4 linked regions of the Saccharomyces cerevisiae S288C genome follow. Changing the gene in region 2 together with the main gene of any one other region gives a genetic interaction. Each region holds a gene or a part of one and is shown on either strand. Other genes may lie near its edges.

Evidence for each region.
Region 1: mutations in GCN1 (region 2) and CDC60 together harm fitness more than expected from each alone (negative genetic interaction), as found in Saccharomyces cerevisiae (3 studies listed by BioGRID).
Region 3: mutations in GCN1 (region 2) and PRE9 together harm fitness more than expected from each alone (negative genetic interaction), as found in Saccharomyces cerevisiae (4 studies listed by BioGRID).
Region 4: mutations in GCN1 (region 2) and FUM1 together harm fitness more than expected from each alone (negative genetic interaction), as found in Saccharomyces cerevisiae (3 studies listed by BioGRID).

The regions. Positions count from the first base shown.
Region 1 is NC_001148.4:245,058-251,076, reverse strand, and holds CDC60 (leucine--tRNA ligase CDC60), read right to left. Parts: upstream 4,088-6,019; coding exon 815-4,087; downstream 1-814. Other genes in the region: PET20 (Pet20p), read left to right, coding at 1-170; BEM4 (Bem4p), read left to right, coding at 4,857-6,019.
Region 2 is NC_001139.9:129,805-134,944, reverse strand, and holds the start of GCN1 (Gcn1p), read right to left. Parts: upstream 3,421-5,140; coding exon 1-3,420. Other genes in the region: D-serine ammonia-lyase DSD1, read right to left, coding at 3,776-5,062. UniProt on the Saccharomyces cerevisiae protein: Ribosome collision sensor that activates a translation quality control pathway when a ribosome has stalled during translation. Directly binds to the ribosome and acts as a sentinel for colliding ribosomes.
Region 3 is NC_001139.9:759,144-762,668, reverse strand, and holds PRE9 (proteasome core particle subunit alpha 3), read right to left. Parts: upstream 1,278-3,525; coding exon 501-1,277; downstream 1-500. Other genes in the region: LSB1 (Lsb1p), read right to left, coding at 1-241; CCR4-NOT core subunit CAF130, read right to left, coding at 1,531-3,525. UniProt on the Saccharomyces cerevisiae protein: The proteasome degrades poly-ubiquitinated proteins in the cytoplasm and in the nucleus. It is essential for the regulated turnover of proteins and for the removal of misfolded proteins.
Region 4 is NC_001148.4:45,281-49,769, reverse strand, and holds FUM1 (fumarase FUM1), read right to left. Parts: upstream 2,435-4,489; coding exon 968-2,434; downstream 1-967. Other genes in the region: CUB1 (Cub1p), read right to left, coding at 1-467; YPL261C (uncharacterized protein), read left to right, coding at 466-774; KEL3 (Kel3p), read left to right, coding at 3,264-4,489. UniProt on the Saccharomyces cerevisiae protein: Catalyzes the reversible stereospecific interconversion of fumarate to L-malate.

The sequences.
Region 1 (6,019 bases), on a different chromosome or scaffold from region 2:
TGAACACAAATGAGCTTATTCATGTAAGTGCTAAGAGAAATACATTAGTTGACAATAAAACAAGTGAGACGCTTCAGCGGAAAATGGATGAATTTTCAAAGAGAAGAGGAAAGGGGAGAAAAAAGTCAGTAGTGACGTTGCTCCAAATGAAGAAAAAACTTGAGGGATGATTATTGAAACGTTTCATTCTGATTTCTGTTTTCCTAGCAGGGAGATCTTCTTAGCATCAATGTGCTTTTTGTACGTGGTTACTTGGGTTTTATTTATTTTTAGTTTCTTCCGGTTCTGTTCACTTTATTAGGCCTTTTCATCTTTTAACATCATAGACCTGTTTATTATACATACGCAACGGTTTTTTTCTTACATCCTTAGAGTATATTACATTCATAAACTTTATCATTCATTTAGAACACCTTTTTTACATGTATATTTTTATATATTTATTTATTATTCTTTTACTTATTGACCTGCTCCTCTCATCCATCTATCTAATATAGTTTTCTCACGACTACTTTTCTCTAGACTAGTCAAATAGCCCTCAAACCCAGATATTTGCAGCTAAAATAACACGAATAAGTAAAGAATCAATATACATATCCTCCACAAGAAAATGTGGAAACATTTTACAAGAAAATGAACGAATACAAAACAAAAACAGTTGTGCAATTACAATAATTATACGATATATACGAGGCAAATTATCAATGCGACGTGATTTCTGGTTGCTGTTTATTGATCTTTATAAGTATTTCTATGAGAATTTCTTGTATCTTTTATCGGAAAATCACCATGAGGCATCTTGAAATATTCTCCTTTAAATATTTTGGAAGACAACACCTGGGTTACCTGGAACAGCATTTTCAACAATCTTTGTTACAGGTGGAATTTCAACTTCTTCACCAGTAAAGATATCCTTACCGGTTTTGGCGCCATATGGGAAAGAAATTGCGCTAAATTCAGCAATTTTCAAAGCTTGTGCTGCCTTCTTAACATTCCTTGCAGCAGCCTTGACAGTATCGATTTCGCTGAATTGTAACTCTCTTTCAAACACATCCTCTGGCTTTTCATTAGCTAAACGTTGTTTCAATAGAGAAATGAATGGCATAGCTCTCTTCATTTCTTTAGGCTCAATATGCTCTCTGACCTTTTTGTTATCGTCTAAAGTCTGTTCGCTGAATAGTTTACGGACGATTTCCACGCATTGTGATTGCCATTCTGGAAATGATTCAGAGATCAATAAAGTCAACTTAACAGGTTTGGATGCATCGATTTCAGCAGACTTGCCCTTCTTCTTTTTTAGTGCTTGCCCTTCGCCTTCTCTTATGCTTCTCTGTAGATTTCTCAAGTAATCCAAAGCAGCCAGAACACCCTTATCTACTGGTTTGGATGCACGTGGAAATTTGGCATTTTGTACAGAGGTTTGGTTACCTAGAACTTCACGGTAAATATACTCAGCGAAATGAGGCGCAATTGGAGCCAGCAATAAGGCTTGTGTTTCAATATAACGTGCAATTAAATCTTTATGCATTACACCACTAGCTTCACGATAGTAATCCCTAGCAGCTTGGAAATCAAAAAGACCGTATTTCAAGGCATTCTTATAATTAGTCAATGCATACTGTTCATAAGTCTTTTCAATCAGAGCATTCATTTCGTGTTCAAACGCGATATCAAAGAAATCTGTAATTTCCCCAGTTCTCAAGTTAGATTCCTTGGTAATTTCTTCTGCCCACTCCTTCAAATTGAATAATCTCAGAATAGCAGCATTAGCGTTAGATTCGTCAAAATTTGCATCTTCAACAGTATCTCCCGCATCGGCAAACGCAATACGAGCTGCATCAGCACCGAACTTTTCAACCGTTTGTTCTAAAGTCATAAAATTACCTGTAGATTTCGACATTTTAGAATTGTTTAACATCAAATGACCGTTAGCTCTGATACCTTTAGGCCAGAATTTCTTTGGGAATAATGCAACATGTGTGTAAATGAAGAAAGTTAAATGGTTAGGGATCAAATCCTTCCCGGAAATTGAGACGTCTAATGGGTAGAAATACTCAAATTCCCTTCTCAACTTTTGTAAAGCAGGCAAAGGAATATTGGTGTTCTTGACATCATCCTGATGTTGGAAAATGTAATCGAAAACCTCATCTGTCATTTGATCAGCTGAAATGCCTAATGGTCCAATTTCGTTACCATAATAATCCTTAAATAGTAAGTGAGCAATGGTATAAAATGATTGATAAATAGTAGAGTCTGATAAAGACTCAACTAAGTATTTTTCATCCCAAGGCAATCTGGTACCTAACCCGTATGTACGGCAAACAGCCCAGTTTTTCAACCAATCCAAAACACCTTCAAATGCGTTTTTTACCTCAGGAGCAAATAATTGCATCCCTTCCAAACATTCAATTGCTTGTTTCTTCCAACTTTCTTCACCGTAATCAACGTACCATTGATCTTCCAAAGAAACGATACAGTCATCACCAGAACGTGACATGACCTGAGATTCTGGTTCGTTGTAGACGAAAGCTTCACCGGCGGCAATCATATCAGCCTTAACCTTGTTTTTGGCTTGTTCGACCTTCTCACCTTTATAAGGACCATATATCATGGTACCAGTGTAGTAATCTTCCTTGTAAGCAATTTTCTTGGCTTCTGCTAACAAGTTCTTATCCTTTGGAGATTGAATTTTTTTTTCTTCAACAATAGCCTTTGCAGTTAAATCACCATACTTTTCGGTATGCATAATTGGAACAATTTCATGGTCAATCCATTCAGGTTTAATGCCGTAGTATTCAGGTTTGTGCAACAAGTCCTTGGTGGTAATGTAGTCATCTGGTGAATTAGATGGTACACACGTGACGACACCAGTACCCTTGGTAGCAATGACAGTTTCCATAGGCAATATTCTTAGTTCTGGATATACAGATTGTGGGGCATGAATCTTGGTACCGATAAATGCCTTACCTGGGACAGTAACTATCGGCTTGTAGAAGCCTCTCTTTGGTGTTAGCTTTTGGTAAGACATGTTCTTGAATGCACGTTCAGTAGTGATAAAATAAGAATCACCAGCGTCAAATATACCATACTCAATTGTTGGAGAAACAAAACAACATGTTTGTCCATACATAGTTTCCGGTCTCAACGTGGCAGCGACAAAGTAGAATTTTTTGGATTTGTCAAGATCTGAGCTTGAATCAATGATTTTTGCGGCATCATCGGCGAACTCTAAAGCTTCAATTTTCACACCAATATATTCTTGTGGTGTAACACCTTCACCGGATTGTCTATCGTGATCCATACAAGCTTGACCATCTTTTTCAGAGTAAATAGTATAACGTTCACCGAATTTGATTTTACCAGCAGCCTTTAACTTGTTCATTTGCCATCTAATAAAGGCATCGTAATAAGGATTGGCATCAGTGGTGACAAAAGAACGTCTCCAATCGATACGAGCCCCAAGTGAAGTACAATCACTTTCACACAAAGGTGGGAAATAGGTCAACCAGTACTTGGCGTCGGCGAACTTAATGATTTCTTCTCTAGGGATACCAAGCTGTAACATGATTTCGAATTGGTACTTACCACGGCCCTTCTTGGCTGCGGCTTTAGATTTTTTAGCTTTGAATTTGGTAACATCCTCGTGGTCTTTCTCAGCCGGCGTTTCTTCTTTAATTTCTTCTTCTTCTGCTGGTACATTGTCGAAGTTCTTGCCAAAAAGTTCGGCTTCCCTCTTTAGTTTATCGGCACATGCTAAGATTGGCATACCTGTACAGTGAAAACCCAATGGAAACAAAGCTCTTTTACCGTTCATCCTTTCAAAACCAATAGAAAATTCGACTTTGGAGAGAGTAAAACAATGGCCGGCGTGCATAACACCGTTCATATAAGGATAGGCCATAGACGACATGAATTTAGGATACGTGCGATGTAACTCTTCAGAGTCCATTGTAATGGGCTCATCTTCGATTGATGGCGCATCGATTTCAAATTGGTGCTCTTCAGCCCATATTTTTTGGTACTTCTTTTCGATGGCGATTAACGCATCTCTACGTGCCGTGTTTTCTAAGACCAAACCAGAAGACATTATAGACTGGTTAAAGATATTTTTTTTATATTCTTCACTCTGGAAAAAAATTTCGGTGGCTTTACGTGATTATGATTTATAATAATACAATCATTCAACGTTTGAATAGAATATGCGTTAGGTTTCTTTTCGCTTTTGATTTTTTTTTTTTTTTCATTATTTGCGTGGGTGACTGATTTAGTTTTTCAATGTAAAAGAACCGTTAACGGCCAGACCTCGTATAAAGTGAGGATAACTATAGGCAATAATGGGCGATGTGTATGTAAGCACGAGCACTAGTTCAATACACATCAGAAAGAAACTTCGTCTAATTATTTCTTACCCAAGTAGTCACCCAAAAAGACCTTTTCAAAATATGACCTTGATATTCCTTGTCCGTCAGTTACCAGTTTTACTGTTAGCCGCCGAGGTCCTAAGGGCCTCGTAAGATCGTTCTTGTCTTCCCATGACTAAAGTTCTGCCACTAAGTTTAAGCAAACTCGGCTAAAATATTGAGCCAATATCGTATACTCATTTGTCTGATCTTCAAATAGTGAATCCCTTCCTAAACTTTCTTGTGATAAAGGTACTTAGTCAAAAGTATTTTTCTTTAACCATGTCAAAATAAGATCATATTACCCGCCGGCGGCAAGCCAAGCAACGTAAAATGGCTGAAGACAACGTAAGCAGGTCACTCGCGAACTAAAACTAACCGCGAATAACAAATCACCTCATCTATATTTCAGCCCCAAAAGATTGTGGTTTCAAGTGAAAATAACTGTCCTACTAAATGGATTACGAAGAAATTTTATTTGGTCTGCAACCGATCCTCAATGCGTCTTCAATAAAGGATGTTCCGATGAACGATGTCTACTTAGGAAGCTACCTAGCGGTAATGGACCAATTGGCTGTTTCGTTGAGAGAACCAAGTAATAGAGATATTGTTGGTAAAACTGGGCTGCTACTGAACCTAGTAAGAGTATTAGAACAAGCGCTTGATATCTGCTTTCATGATACGAGCATTTCAATTAATGATAAAATAGCGTTTTATGAGATCAGTTCTGAAGTGATTAGATGTATCGCTAACGCAATAATTGATAATGATGATAATCGGGAAATTCTCTTGGATTCTGGAGGTAAAAAGCTTCTTAATTATTATATAGGCGGGGTTCTTCAGCTGGACGAAATTTCTTCTGACAAGAGTGAGGATAGCTTAGTGGATAAATTACAGATGCGGTCAGTTGTGCTACTAAGGAATTTTTGCATTGGAAATCTCAAGTATACAGAAAATTTGGCTCCCTTCATTAGAGGTCCATTATTTGTTTTGTTGAAAACCACACAATATAGCTATTTGTCATCTCCCGAAAAAGTTGTTTTAGGTTCAGATTTATTGAACGATATTTTAAAAGTCAATTACTCAAATGTTCAAATAAGCGATCTCTTTTTCTTAAGCCAGTACATCAAAAAAATCTCTTCAAATGTGCAAAATAAAGAATTGCAGGCAATGGAAGATGGAGCAGTCGAAGCATATTCAAATACTGAAACTCAGAAGTTCGCTGGCCAAGGAAATCAAGAGTACATCGAAAAAGAGGAAGAAGATGATGAGGAGGACGTTAATTGTGAATTGCTATTAAATCTGTCAACATGTCTTGAAACTATTGTAGCCAAGGATGAAACTATAAACTTTACCAATGAGGAGCAGCTTGTGCTAAGCATGCAAAAAAATTTAATATTGTCCTTAGTTTGCTTAGAATCAAAAACCTTCAATAATAAGCTAATTGTAATGAGAAGACTCATATCGTGCGCAGGCAACATCTCCGCCAACCTAACAAACTCTAACAAACGAGAGCAATCATTATGTATCGAAACTATTAAGAGTTCCGCAAGTAGTTATGCCCTAGCCGCAGCTTTGATGATATTATGTAACTCAGTTGCATCCAAAAGTGACGCTGT
Region 2 (5,140 bases):
GTTCTCTTCAGAGGTAAACAGACTTACCGCACCAAATGCGTACGCGTTTGCCGCAAATAATCTCAAGCCACTATCATCCTGATTGAATAGTGGGAATAAGCTTTTTAGTAATTCATCGTTGACTACAAATTTGTTGAACTCCCAAATGAAATCTGCAATCTCGCGGTTGGAAGGATCCGAATCAAATCTGCAAATGAAAACTTCAGGTGAATATTTCATAAAAGGTTCTAATTCGAATTCGTTATCAAGAGTTTCTAATATTGTTGAACGGACAAATTGATTTGGTGATAGTAAATTTGATAGTATCATATCAAGGTCTTCTTGATTTGGTGCAACAGATATGCTTTGGCACAGAGCGTTGAAACAATCTTTAGCAATCTTCGCTTTTGAGGGTAAAGATAGAAGAGATAGTAACACTTCAACAATGGAAATTCTCGGAATGGAAGGATCCTCAAAAGCTTCAGCGTGTACAGAAATAATTTCCATGGCCAGTAACAGATGTTCTTCTTCTTCATCTTCTTCAACAAACTCAGCCTTAACAACAGGCTTGTCCGCATTCTTTAATGCAATCGCCTTACCCTTTTCTAAAACATTAATCAACAATGGTAAAATATATGTCAAACTGATGGAATCTATTGCTGCTTGGTTGGAGACGAACTTGATCCTAAAAAGAACTCTTGTAAGTAATTCAACCAGTGGTTCTTGTAAATAATCTTGCGAGATGCCATTAGCATTGTGCACACGCAAAGTCGCCAAACCTAAGAAAAGTCTGATATTACCTAATCTCTCGGAGACATTTTGAGAAAGCTGCAAGAACACATTATTTACATCCTCTGTTAGCTTTGAAATATTTGGTTCCGAGCATAGGTACAAAAGCTTTGTGACTGCCAAGGGGAACCAAGTAGCGATGCCATTTTGGACTAAGCAAGCAGCTTTGGAAAGTTCAGATACCAATCTAATACCACGCTTTAAACGAGTGGAAATTTCCGAAACGTGTGATCTAACTGCAGATTCTTTCGCTAACTGTTCATTAACGAGCTCTTGTTCCTCTTTTGAAAGTTTTTTCACATTCTTTTTGGCTTGCTCCTTCCTTATTTTTTGTTCCCACATTAGAGTTTCGTACTCTTTAGAATTTTTATTGGAAAGTTTCTTATTCATGCTTTCTTCCAGGACGTCAACCACCAGAACACCTTCCTCTCCTGCAAAAATTTCGAAGTCCTCTTCAGATAAACGTGAGAAATCATCCGCGGTTAAATCTGCTTCGATAGTCTTACAAAGGATCGGTGTGAACTCATTAGGCTGAATAAATGCTGCATAGGCAGCTGCTTGCAAACCGCATGCACCATAAATTGTATCTATCCATTCACAACTACCTGTGATTTCAAGAATCTTCTCCATGATAACGCTAGCATGTTCTTTGACAACTTCAGCTGGATCAAGCCTTGCACGTAAAACTAAACCAGCCCAGCCATTCTTAATGTTGAAAATATTCCATTGCGCTATGACCAGAGCATTGATTAATACCTTTATCGAGGCTTCCTTGTCAGGTAACTCAGACGTAATGGCCAGTAGTACAGAAGTGACATATTTAAAGGATGTATTTTGTTGAGGTATTAATTCTTGGACACGCATTCTCCTTTCAATTGCATCAATCACGCTAAACCCAATAAATTCGGGTTTCTTGTAGAACAATTCTTGTAGTAAATTAACAGCATGAATACGGTTTTCGATGGATAGCTCTGTTGATAATGCAGCAGTTAAGATAGCATCACCTATCGAAGAATTTTCAGGAAGGGTTTCTATGAGCTGCATAACACGATCATTTAGCTCAGTATTGTCCAATGCCAAAATTTTGTTTGTAAATTCAATTGATGCTAGAATACATGCATGCCCGTGAGTCTGATAATGTATGATGGAGTCTTTCACAAATTCCAAACAACCGTCTATAAAGTTTAAAATCACCTCTTCAGAGGCAGCATTGGAATTGTTCAAAAATGCGGCAAACCAGCATTTTTTCAAAGCAGGTTTTTTATCTGCAAAACCAGCTGATATAATTTTATCCAAGTCTTCAATAGGTTTGCCCAGACTAAAATAATGAACAAAAAAAGCGTTAAGCATTAGAGTCAAGGCTGCTTCATTACCTTCTTTACCAATATATGGGGACAGCCCTTTGCAGATTTTTTCTGAAACCTCATAGTGCGTTAAGGGTATTTCTATGAGAATTTTGGAAATAAGTGATTTGTAATCTGCATTTAAGTTCGATTTGATGTTCTTAAATATTTCGTCAATAAGCTTGGTCAAATCTTCCAAGGTAGTGTCAGTATTGGAAATTTTTCTCAATAAGATTATCATAGACTGAAGCGAGACGGATCTAACTACCTCTTTTGAGCTTTTAAATGACGAGAAGTATTGATTAATCAGTTTCGAGGAAGCAAAGGCATTTAAGAGATTTACTTTTTCAGGAGAAACACCAGCATATAACTCAGATAAAATCGAAAAACCAACCTCAGGAGATCTTAAAACTGCTTTTTCAATATTAGGGATGAAAAACTTAATGAATAACTCTTGTGAAACAAATTCTTTTAAAAATGGCTTCAAACCAATCTCTAAGCAAAAGGAAGATGGTGGGTTTTTGCCTAAAAACACTTCTTTGCCCAAATATTCGCAATATTTCTCTGCAGAATTTTCCTTTAAAACGGAGTGCAGAGCTGGTTGCCTCGATAATAACTGAAGTGCAGCCTGAGTTAGTGCACCCATTATCATAACTACTCCAACACTGGTTATCTTCAGCTTAGAGTAGCTCTCCAGTACAGTTTTAATTGAAATCTTCATGAAGGAAATACTGTCGTCATTATCCTTCAAGCACTTAAGGAATGCTTTGACCGTTGTTTGGAAAATGCAATAACGAATTCTCTTTCTATGCTGGTTCTGCTTATCTTGGGATTTCTTGCCTTCTTCTTGATTGTCAAGAATAGTTTCCACACCGAACGTTGCATAAGAATGGGCGACCAACAATTTTGGAATGTACTCTTCAAATAAATTAGAATTATGCGACACAAAAATCAAGAAAGAATTAATCCAATCTAACAAATTAAGGTAATCAGCGACTGCTTTGGTAGCCGGATTACTGATGACCACGTCGGAAATGAATCGGATAAAGTTTTCTAGGAGACATGGCTCTAGATTTAAGATGTCAAGCAATATTGAAGTTACCAAACTTTTAGACCTATTGTCTTCGTAAATCGTGAAGGTATTCAATAAAACGAAAGCAATTTCAGATAATTGAGGTTTTTCCAATGTTTCTTGACGAACTAATTGTGATATATCTTGCAAAAAGGGAACTCTTTTAGACACGTGTGATTCGCGGGTGCCTTTCTCTAAAACAGGGGATATATCTTCCCAGTTTAAGATAGCTGTCATCACTGTAGGAGTTATTGGTGTCAGTCAGAGCTTTGTTTGTCTTAATGATCTACTTCAGGTTTAATAAGTACAACTCAAAGATCTTTTCGAAGGTTTAAATTATTCAAATTTTTCATTCGTACGTAACGACTTTATTGAGAAGCTCAATGACGGTAGTTGAAATTTCATAGCATTATATCAACAAATAAATCTGTATTACAATTACCAGCTCGCAGGTAATGCGGAAGCTTAACAAGAGGGTGTTTAGACCAACCTGTGTACAACCTTACTCTTAGTTACTATTTATAAATAGATACACAATTACATAGACACAGAGATGCTTTGATGAGAGTGATAACCAACGACAAAAGAGAGCTTACCATTTCTGAAAAGGTAACCAAACATCGTTGACAATGCCTTCGCTGTTTACCACGAAATAATATGGAAATTGTCCCATTGTGATACAAGCGTGTTGAGGAAGGACGGCAATTTTGCTGCCTAATTTTAATGGAGTAGTTTCGTTCCAGTTTCTTATTGGCCTCAGTATCCCGTGTTCTTGAGAGACCCTTGCTACATACCATTCCCTACTGAAACTCTCGGATTTTAACACATGTTCCAAATCAGCACATATTCCAAACCCTTTTATTGAGGATGCTTCTCGCGTTAGACACATTACACCTGTATTACTCAACAATTCACCTCTAGAAGGGTAAGATGATAGTACTGTTCCTAATACAAAACCAGACAATTCGTGATCTTGGACACAGCCTGTTGCCACCTGTTGCAGGTCATACATGCAGTAATTACCGCAGTGGATTTCAAGCGTACTAACTAATTGAGTAGTAATGAATTTAACAAGGGTACTTTTATTATCGAGTTTCAAAGAATTGGAAGTCGGAGTAGCGCCCACAGAAAGTGTTAATTTAGAAGGATCAAACTGAGGATCCACAGAGCACAAAACTTTAGCGGCAGAATTGACTGCTTTCACTTCTTCCATCAAAAGATTCTGAGTGTCGTTGATCGAGGTTGAAGAGTAGCTGTGTCCGGCATGAGCATAAAACCCATATGGCTCAATTACTTCTTTAATTTCTGAGGAAGTCAGTTTTTTTAAAAGACTCAAAAATTCTGGAGAGTCGAAAGCAAGACCTGCCCTCTTAGTCCCCATATCAACCTTGATAAAAACCGACCATTTCTTGCCGGAAGCAGGCCTACCGAAATTCTTTAAATTCTCCAAGTGTTCAATGTTATCAACAAAAACCTGAAAATTATTCACCCTTCTTGACAAATTGCTCAAAAGAGGAATAAACTCTGGAACGCAACAGGGTAAACTATATGTTATATCGTCAATATAATCCGAACATTGTCTATCTTGATAATTAAGAAGTTCTTCTGCTTCTTTCAAAGTTGATACTAATATGGCTCTTGTAGTGCGTTTAGCCAATGGAAGTCCGTGGCCCAATTGTTTCAAAGTTCCCTTTGCTGTCTTATGCGTTTTTACGTGTGCACGAAATTTGATTGGTACGCCACATTCCTGGCTGAGCTTTTCAACGTTGTTCAACATTGTCGTACAATTCTTATCAAATTTTTCTTCATTAATAACGAAATTGGGTGTGGGTAAATCTCTGACTGAGCACCCTTTATATTGAGATAGAACATCGCTCATTTCAAACTCTTCTTAGGAGCAATATTATACTTCCTTATCAAGAAATGAAGTATTTATGTGCACTTAATTCCCTTTCGT
Region 3 (3,525 bases), 630 kb from region 2:
GTATTTTATCACCTGTTTTCAATGACAAATCTCCATCTTGTTGAGCTTCAAAATCATATAAAGCTTCAACGTACTCTTCTGTATCTGCATTTTGGGGCGATCTTTGGTTTCCATCCCATTTCTCAGGTAACTTGCTATTGATTAATTCGAAAATGTCGCCTGATATGACGTTTGATTCCTTCAAAAATTCTAATTCATTCCTTATATTTTTCAATGATCGATTCACTAGTGACGCAGACATCGCTTTTGTTTATTTTTGAAGTGCTGCCAAAATTAGATTGGAGTTAGAATCCAACAACAAGTAGGCCAAACGAGCAGGCCCTTTTTTATATTTGCCTCTCGAGCGATTCCGATCTTGAAATTTGCGCAAAAAAAAGTTTCTTCAGCCTTCCCCCGAAAGGGGAATCTTAGCGATTTTTTTCTTTCACTTTTAATTTTAGAGATATGTTTCTATGCGTACATATTTATATAAGCATGAAGTCAAACAATACTTTCCAACCTTATTTCATATCTTCATCAGCTTCTTCGTCTTCATCCTTCTTGGTAATACCAGTCTTTACCAATATATCCTTTATCTCTTGAGGCTTGAAAATCTTCTGATACACTTCTCCGTCATTAGCACCCTTTCTGATAGTAGCAAATTCCAACCTGTCATAAGTCAGCGCGCTACTGTCGGTAGTTTTGGATAACGTTTTTAAAGCCAGTTCAATGGCATCATCGACTTTCATATCATCCTTGTAGTCCATTTGAAGTAGGGTTTGTGCTGCTGATGTGTTAGCGCCAACACTAATAGCCTTCCACCCTGTATAGTTTCCCGATGGATTAGATGTATACAATTGGTAACCGTATCTATCGTCATAACCGGCGTAGATAAAGGACACACCAAATGGTCTTAAACCACCATGTTGCGTGTAACCTTGTTTTATATCACTTAGCCTTCTCACCAAAATTTCTACTGGTATATCTTCATTATAGGTTTTAAGGTAATTTTGAGCGTGAATTCTAGCCGTATTTATTAGAATTTCTGCATCTGCAGTCAGTCCAGCAACGGCAACCGCAATTTTATCGTTTAACTTATAAAGTTTTTCGGTAGAGGTGTCTTGTTCTAGTAAAGTACTTGTGACTTTGCGTTCTGCTGCAAGAACAATCCCATCAGATGCCATAATCCCAATTGCGGTACCTGCATGTGAAATGGATTCTAGCGCGTATTCAACCTGATATAGACGTCCCTCAGGGGAGAAAATTGTTGTCCTGGAATCGTATCTTCTGGAACCCATGTTTAACACTACTAACTATATCCAATAATCAATTATTAAAATAGAGACTGATCGAAAACTTTTTATAGAAAGCAGTCTGTTCTCTTCGCTCTGCCAATGTTTCCTTATTACATAGATATCCATCTTTTTATGCTTTTATTCTATAAATTTTTTGCCACCTGCAGGGTAACGAATATTTAACTGCCTCAAGATGTTATTACATGGCTAATTGTCATTAAATGAGGATGCAGAGAAAACATGAGCAATTCACTGCTCACTCACTGTCTCCAACATCGAGCTCTGCGAGTGTTATATATTCATGAAGTGGGATAGGCTTATCGGCTTTGGGCAATGGCAAAATCTTACCATCGTAGAACACCACCCTTCTTCCTGGAGGGTTCACCTGGGTGTCGAAGGAGTAATCAGCGATAAAACTACGCAACGTGTTAATAGGGGAACTATCGTCTTTGTTTGCAGGCTTTGAGGGAAACAGGTTTAACAATTTCAGATTCAGTTCAGAAGCTGGCTTAGCGTTTAGCTTCTTCTCTATGTCAGAGTTCTTCCTGCCCTCATGCTGCATAGTATCGGCACTATCCTCTTCTTCCATGGCGAGCCTTGTCTTGATCTTAAAGAATAAATCTTTGGCTTCAGGAAGGATGCCAATCCATGTCATCAGTAAAGTTTGAAGCTCAAAAGTGCATTCTGATTTGGTAAAAAAAAACTTGTCGTTCGCGATGAGTGTCTGCACCATGTAACAGATCAACCTAACCAAACCAAGGGAGTACAAGGAGATTTTCTCGCCGTCTTCATTCTCTTCTTCGTTATTTTTTGATGACAAAAAAATAGCAGCATTCATAAAAAACTCCTGCAGTAACATTTTAGTCTCAATATCAGATAATACGATAGGTCCTTGCCTTGAAAAGGGAAGTCCTGAAGCATCTTCATTCTTCTGCTTTTTCTTCAAGATCTCATATATCATATCATCCTTTTTATCTTGATCACTGGCTTCTCCGGAAAACGGTTTTCCACGTAACCCCATTATTAGTTCAAAAACGTAATATATCAACGAATGTTTTAACTCCAAATGCGTAAGGAACCATATCAATATTCTCCTATAACCGGTGCACATTAACATTTCATCCATTAATCTCCACGCAACGTCGTGATTCACGTTTAGCATCCTTTCAAATGCTGATTCTTCAGACCATATTTCATAAATATCATCCGGCGTGGTTCTTCTGAGATCTTCATTATCTATCTTGGACATTTTGGTATTTCCTTCACCTTCTACATCGCCGTTTATACTTGCGGAAAAATTAGACTCCAGGTCTGCTAAAATCATTTGGTCCTGCTCGTTCCTTACACACGATGCAACTGAACGCACTAACAATATGGATTCCTCCTTATTCAACTTTTCTGTTGCGCCACGTAGAGTCAAACTAAATATGACATCTAACTTAGGCTCATGGATGAATGAATAAGATGGCGAATAGTACATATTGAAATCTCTGGGAACGTCCCTCCAATCTTCCCCACTATAGTCAAATTCAAAAGTACTTCTTGATCTAACGGAAAGTGGGTTAGGTGACGTAACGACGTGATCAGAAGTGGCTGTAGTCGCGTTATGTACCGCATTCCTATTATTATGCATTGCGCCTTCAACGTTTTCGCTATTTGTTGACCCAAAGGCTTCATTTGCACCATCCTCTGCCACCAACTTATCATCATTGAAGATGCAATTGCACCGTCTCCGAAAGAAAACATTATTACTACCAGATGCTATTTTTTCTGTTGGGTTAACAACGCTTTCATCCAATCCTCCATGATCGCTTTCAGAGAAAGATTCATCATAATCTTCACATTCATAATCAAACATATATCTAATATCCTCATCAAATCTATCACCTGACTGTAAATCGGCAAATAAATCTGTTACATCTTCGATGCTTGCTCCAAGCGCAAGTAGAGATGCAGTATGTGACCTTAAATCGGCATATAAAGCACCATGACACAATTTTCTTCCATAGGGCGACATGAATGTGTTTAAAGACTCGTGCTTGAAATCATGATCATTATTTTTCACTAATCCATTGAGAACGGTAGCTATTACAGACCTCAATGCTGCGGCTCCACGAATTGTGGCGCGAACCATAAGCGGCGTTTCGTAAGTGCCATTCTCCTCTTCAATTCTATCAATTTCTAAGGCTAAAAGTATAACACAGGAGAGGTTTTTCCATAAGGATATTAATGAAAATAAAAATGGGTTTAG
Region 4 (4,489 bases), on a different chromosome or scaffold from region 2:
TCGACAATCTTGCTGATTTCTTCCAGCCTTTCCTTAATAGGACTCAAATCGTGATGGGTGAAGACGTTTGATTCATTTAAATGTTCCAAAAGACTCTCCACAGTAGATAACGATGCATAAGTCGCAGGTGCAGAATTTTTTAGCCCAACAGTTAAAAAACACAACGAGAGCAATTGAAAGACATCATCCAGTACGGAGTCAACTCTATTATGCAATTCAGTACTATGAATCAGGGTGGCGGCGCTCTTAGCGGGCGTCTCATGACTATTCTTCCTAATATCGTCCAACTCTCTGACTTTGGTCAAGACGTGTTGGTAAGTAGTTTGGACATCCTTAGAGTTCAAATACTGGGTCCTATTTTGCTTGAGTTTAGCCAAGGAGGATCTCACTTCAAGGAGGTAGTTTAATATGGATTCCTCTTCCTTAGGAACAATTTGAGGGTGTTGTTGTCCAGCGGATGCAAACATGCTCTTTTTAGACAGTTATTCTCTTCTAATACAATTTCAGCGTTTTAAAAATTGGGAAAGTCCTCGAAGATTTAGTAGTTCTTTTCCTTTGCTTTTGTTTGTTTTTAAACCGATATTTGCTGCTAAACTTCTTAAAGAGATTTGCTCTTCTGGTGTACTCTCTTATTCGTTATCATTTCTGAAAATTCCCCTTTCCGTGATGCGGGTAATACTAGGTCCCTTACCCGACGACAAGAAATTAAAAAATGACGCAAAATATTCATTTATGAACTATTTTATTATAACTTGTATAGGAATAATAATGTAGTGATGTAAATTTATGGGCCCCATTAAGCCATCAAAAATGGAATGTATGCCTATGCTCCTCTTCTGACATAACTGGCCAGAGGCGGGACCTTAGCGGAGGGACCATTGCTGAATCACAAATTCTCTCCACTTCCTTATTTTCCTTCATATAATAAGACATAAAAAACTTGTATATTATTAGGTATTTAGCTCGTTTATTTAGGACCTAGCATGTGTTCAGGAACAACCCATTCATCAAATTCCTTTTCAGTCAATACACCCAATTCCAATGCACTTTCCTTCAAGGTAATGCCCTTCTTATGAGCATTCTTGGCGACCTTGGAAGCGGCATCATAACCGATCTTAGGGTTCAAAGCGGTGACTAACATTAAAGATTTAGTCAACAACTCATGAATACGAGGCTCATTGGCTTTGATACCTTCAACACAGTGCACTCTAAATGAATATGCGGCATCAGTAATTAACCTGATCGAATTCAATAGATTGGCGATCATGACTGGCTTGAAGACATTTAACTCGAATTGACCTTGAGAGCCGGCAAACGTGATAGCTGCATTGTTACCCATGACTTGCACACACACTTGAGTCAATGCCTCGTTTTGGGTTGGGTTAACTTTACCAGGCATGATTGAGGAACCTGGTTCATTCTCTGGCAGCATTAGTTCATGGTAGCCGCAACGTGGCCCGGACCCTAAGTATCTTATATCTTGCGCTATTTTGAAAAGAGAACAAGCAAGGGTGTTTAGAGCACCGCTACATTCGACAATGGCGTCGTGAGCAGCCAAAGCCTCGAACTTATTAGGGGCGGTTTGAAACTTTAGTCCAGTTTCTTTGGAAATTTGCTCGGCTATCTTGACATCGAATCCGGGCTTGGTGTTCAACCCTGTACCAACGGCAGTACCACCTTGTGCCAGGAAACTCAATGTTTTCAAAGAATGTGCCACTCTTTGGATACCGTTCTCAACTTGTTGCACGTAACCGGAAAACTCTTGACCTAGTGTCAAAGGCGTGGCATCTTGCAAGTGTGTTCTACCGATCTTCACAATATGGTCAAATTCCTTGGATTTGGCTTCAAGGGCGTTCTTTAAATTGGTCAACTCAGGTATCAACTCGTTTTGAATTTGCAAACTGGCAGCGATATGCATGACAGTGGGGAAAGTATCATTGGATGATTGAGATTGGTTGCAATGATTGTTTGGATGGACTTGTTTAGATCCAATCTTGCCTCCTAGGATCTCAATGGCACGATTGGAAATAACTTCATTAGCATTCATGTTAGACTGGGTACCGGAACCCGTTTGGAAAACAACCAATGGAAAGTGGTCGTCTAGCTTACCAGAAGCCACTTCGTCAGCGGCCTGTTGAATAGCCTTGGAGATCTTGGGATCCAATCCCCCCAGAGACTCATTCACAATCGCGGCAGATTTCTTCAAAACACCAAATGCATGCACCAAAGGCAATGGCATTCTTTCACGAGCGCCACCAATCTTGAAGTTTTGAAAGGATCTTTGAGTTTGGGCACCCCAGTACTTATCAGCAGGCACGTGTATCTCACCAAATGCATCGGTTTCAGTTCTGAACGAGGAGTTCATTCTTCTTATATTAAGCTTATATGACGATTTTACGAAAGTCTTGCAACTACAATTGGTAAATCTCAACATGATTGTATCTCTTATCCGTTTAATAGTTAGACTTTATGGAATTTCTTGACGTGAGAAAAAAAACAGCTGCAGTACTAAAAGTCACGAATTTAAAAATGCAAAAAAATGACTGTATGTAATGGAGAAACGATATGAATATCCCAGAAGAAAGAGCTAGAGTCACTCCCCCGTGTGTTCGGTCCGGCCTCCTGTTGGATGCTTGTTTAACGTCTACAACAGTGATGAAGATTATATATAGCCTATAAGAAACGCAAAAAGGCTTTACAGGAAAGAGCCAATCATCGAACGCCCATTCCGGGAATCGGGGTAGTCATTCCGAGGATCGGCTCAGGGGAGGGGCCTGAAGCCTCTCCAATATGGTAGTGATAGCAAGAACTAGAGACATTTACTGCTAGCTTCCATAGCTCTCTAACCACAGGGTACGAATAATAACCATTATTAGGTACTGACATTATGATGTCGCCCGCGGCGATTCGGAAGGGTTTAAGGACACGTCTTAACAAATGGCATTACAGAATGGCTATAGGCGACTCACTACTATGTATTGACTATGTAGGAGATACCAAGCTTTGCTTTACGAGCCCTCTTTACTTTTTTTCTTGTATAGTTATAGTTAATGTAGTAGTCGCAATAACTGCGGTAGTAGTACTAACATCAGTAAAAGTAACGCTTGGTAGTTTTTCTGCCCGGTTTAACCATTGATTTGATGAAATTGTAGAAAACTGAAAAAAAAAAAAAAAATGAAAAAAAAAAATGATGAGCTTCTCGAAGAATACATTAACCACTTATAGGAAGGAGAAGAGATCTACTAGACTCGTAGAAGTGATTAATGGCAAAGAAGAATAAGAAGGATAAAGAGGCCAAAAAGGCACGTGCTGAACTGAAGAATCAGAAAAACCAAAAAAAGCAGGAGAAAAAGTTTCAGAAGAACAAGAATAAGTCTTTAAACGGCGAAGAAGATGATGAAAGTGATCAAGATCTCGATGAAATTCTCTCTAGCTTTAGCAAAAAGCAAATTGAATTAGAGCATGTAGACATCACTTCTGTGGAAAAACCCTCTTGTCGTACTCATCCGTTGATGTTTGCAAATCCGCAACACAATAAACATGAATTGTTCATTTTCGGTGGTGAATTTACAGATCCAGAAACCAAACTAACACATTTCTATAATGATTTGTATTCATACTCCATAAAGAACAACTCTTGGAAAAAATACGTTTCGCAAAATGCACCTTTGCCCAGATCCAGTGCCGCTGTCGCTGTGCATCCTTCCGGAATAGCACTGTTACACGGTGGTGAATTTTCGTCCCCAAAACAATCTAAATTCTACCACTATTCTGATACATGGCTGTTTGACTGCGTTGAAAGGAAATTCACTAAGTTGGAGTTTGGCGGTAGAGACTCTTCACCCAGCGCCAGATCAGGTCATAGAATTATTGCTTGGAAAAACTATTTCATATTATTTGGTGGATTTAGAGATTTGGGGAATGGTCAAACTTCTTACCTAAATGATTTGTGGTGTTTTGATATCTCAACCTACAAATGGACCAAATTGGAGACAAACAGCAAACCTGACGCTAGATCGGGTCATTGTTTCATTCCTACAGATAATTCTGCCATATTAATGGGTGGTTACTGTAAAATCATTGCCAAAAATAATAAAAATTTAATGAAGGGAAAAATCTTGAATGATGCATGGAAACTGAACTTAACGCCTGATCCAAAGAAGTGGCAGTGGGAAAAATTAAAGAATTTCAAGAACCAGCCCTCACCAAGAGTCGGGTATTCGTTCAATCTATGGAAGCAAAACAAGTCCGTTGCTTTTGGTGGTGTCTACGATTTACAAGAGACAGAGGAATCCTTAGAGTCCGTTTTCTATAACGACCTATATATGTTCCACCTAGAGTTGAACAAATGGTCTAAACTTAGAATTAAACCTCAGCGTCAAACGAATAGTAAAAATTCACCCGCCACAAGTAAAAGAAAATCTAATAAAGATCAAGAAAAGGAACTGCAGGATTTACTAAATTCCATTCTGGCCAAGTCTAATCTAAA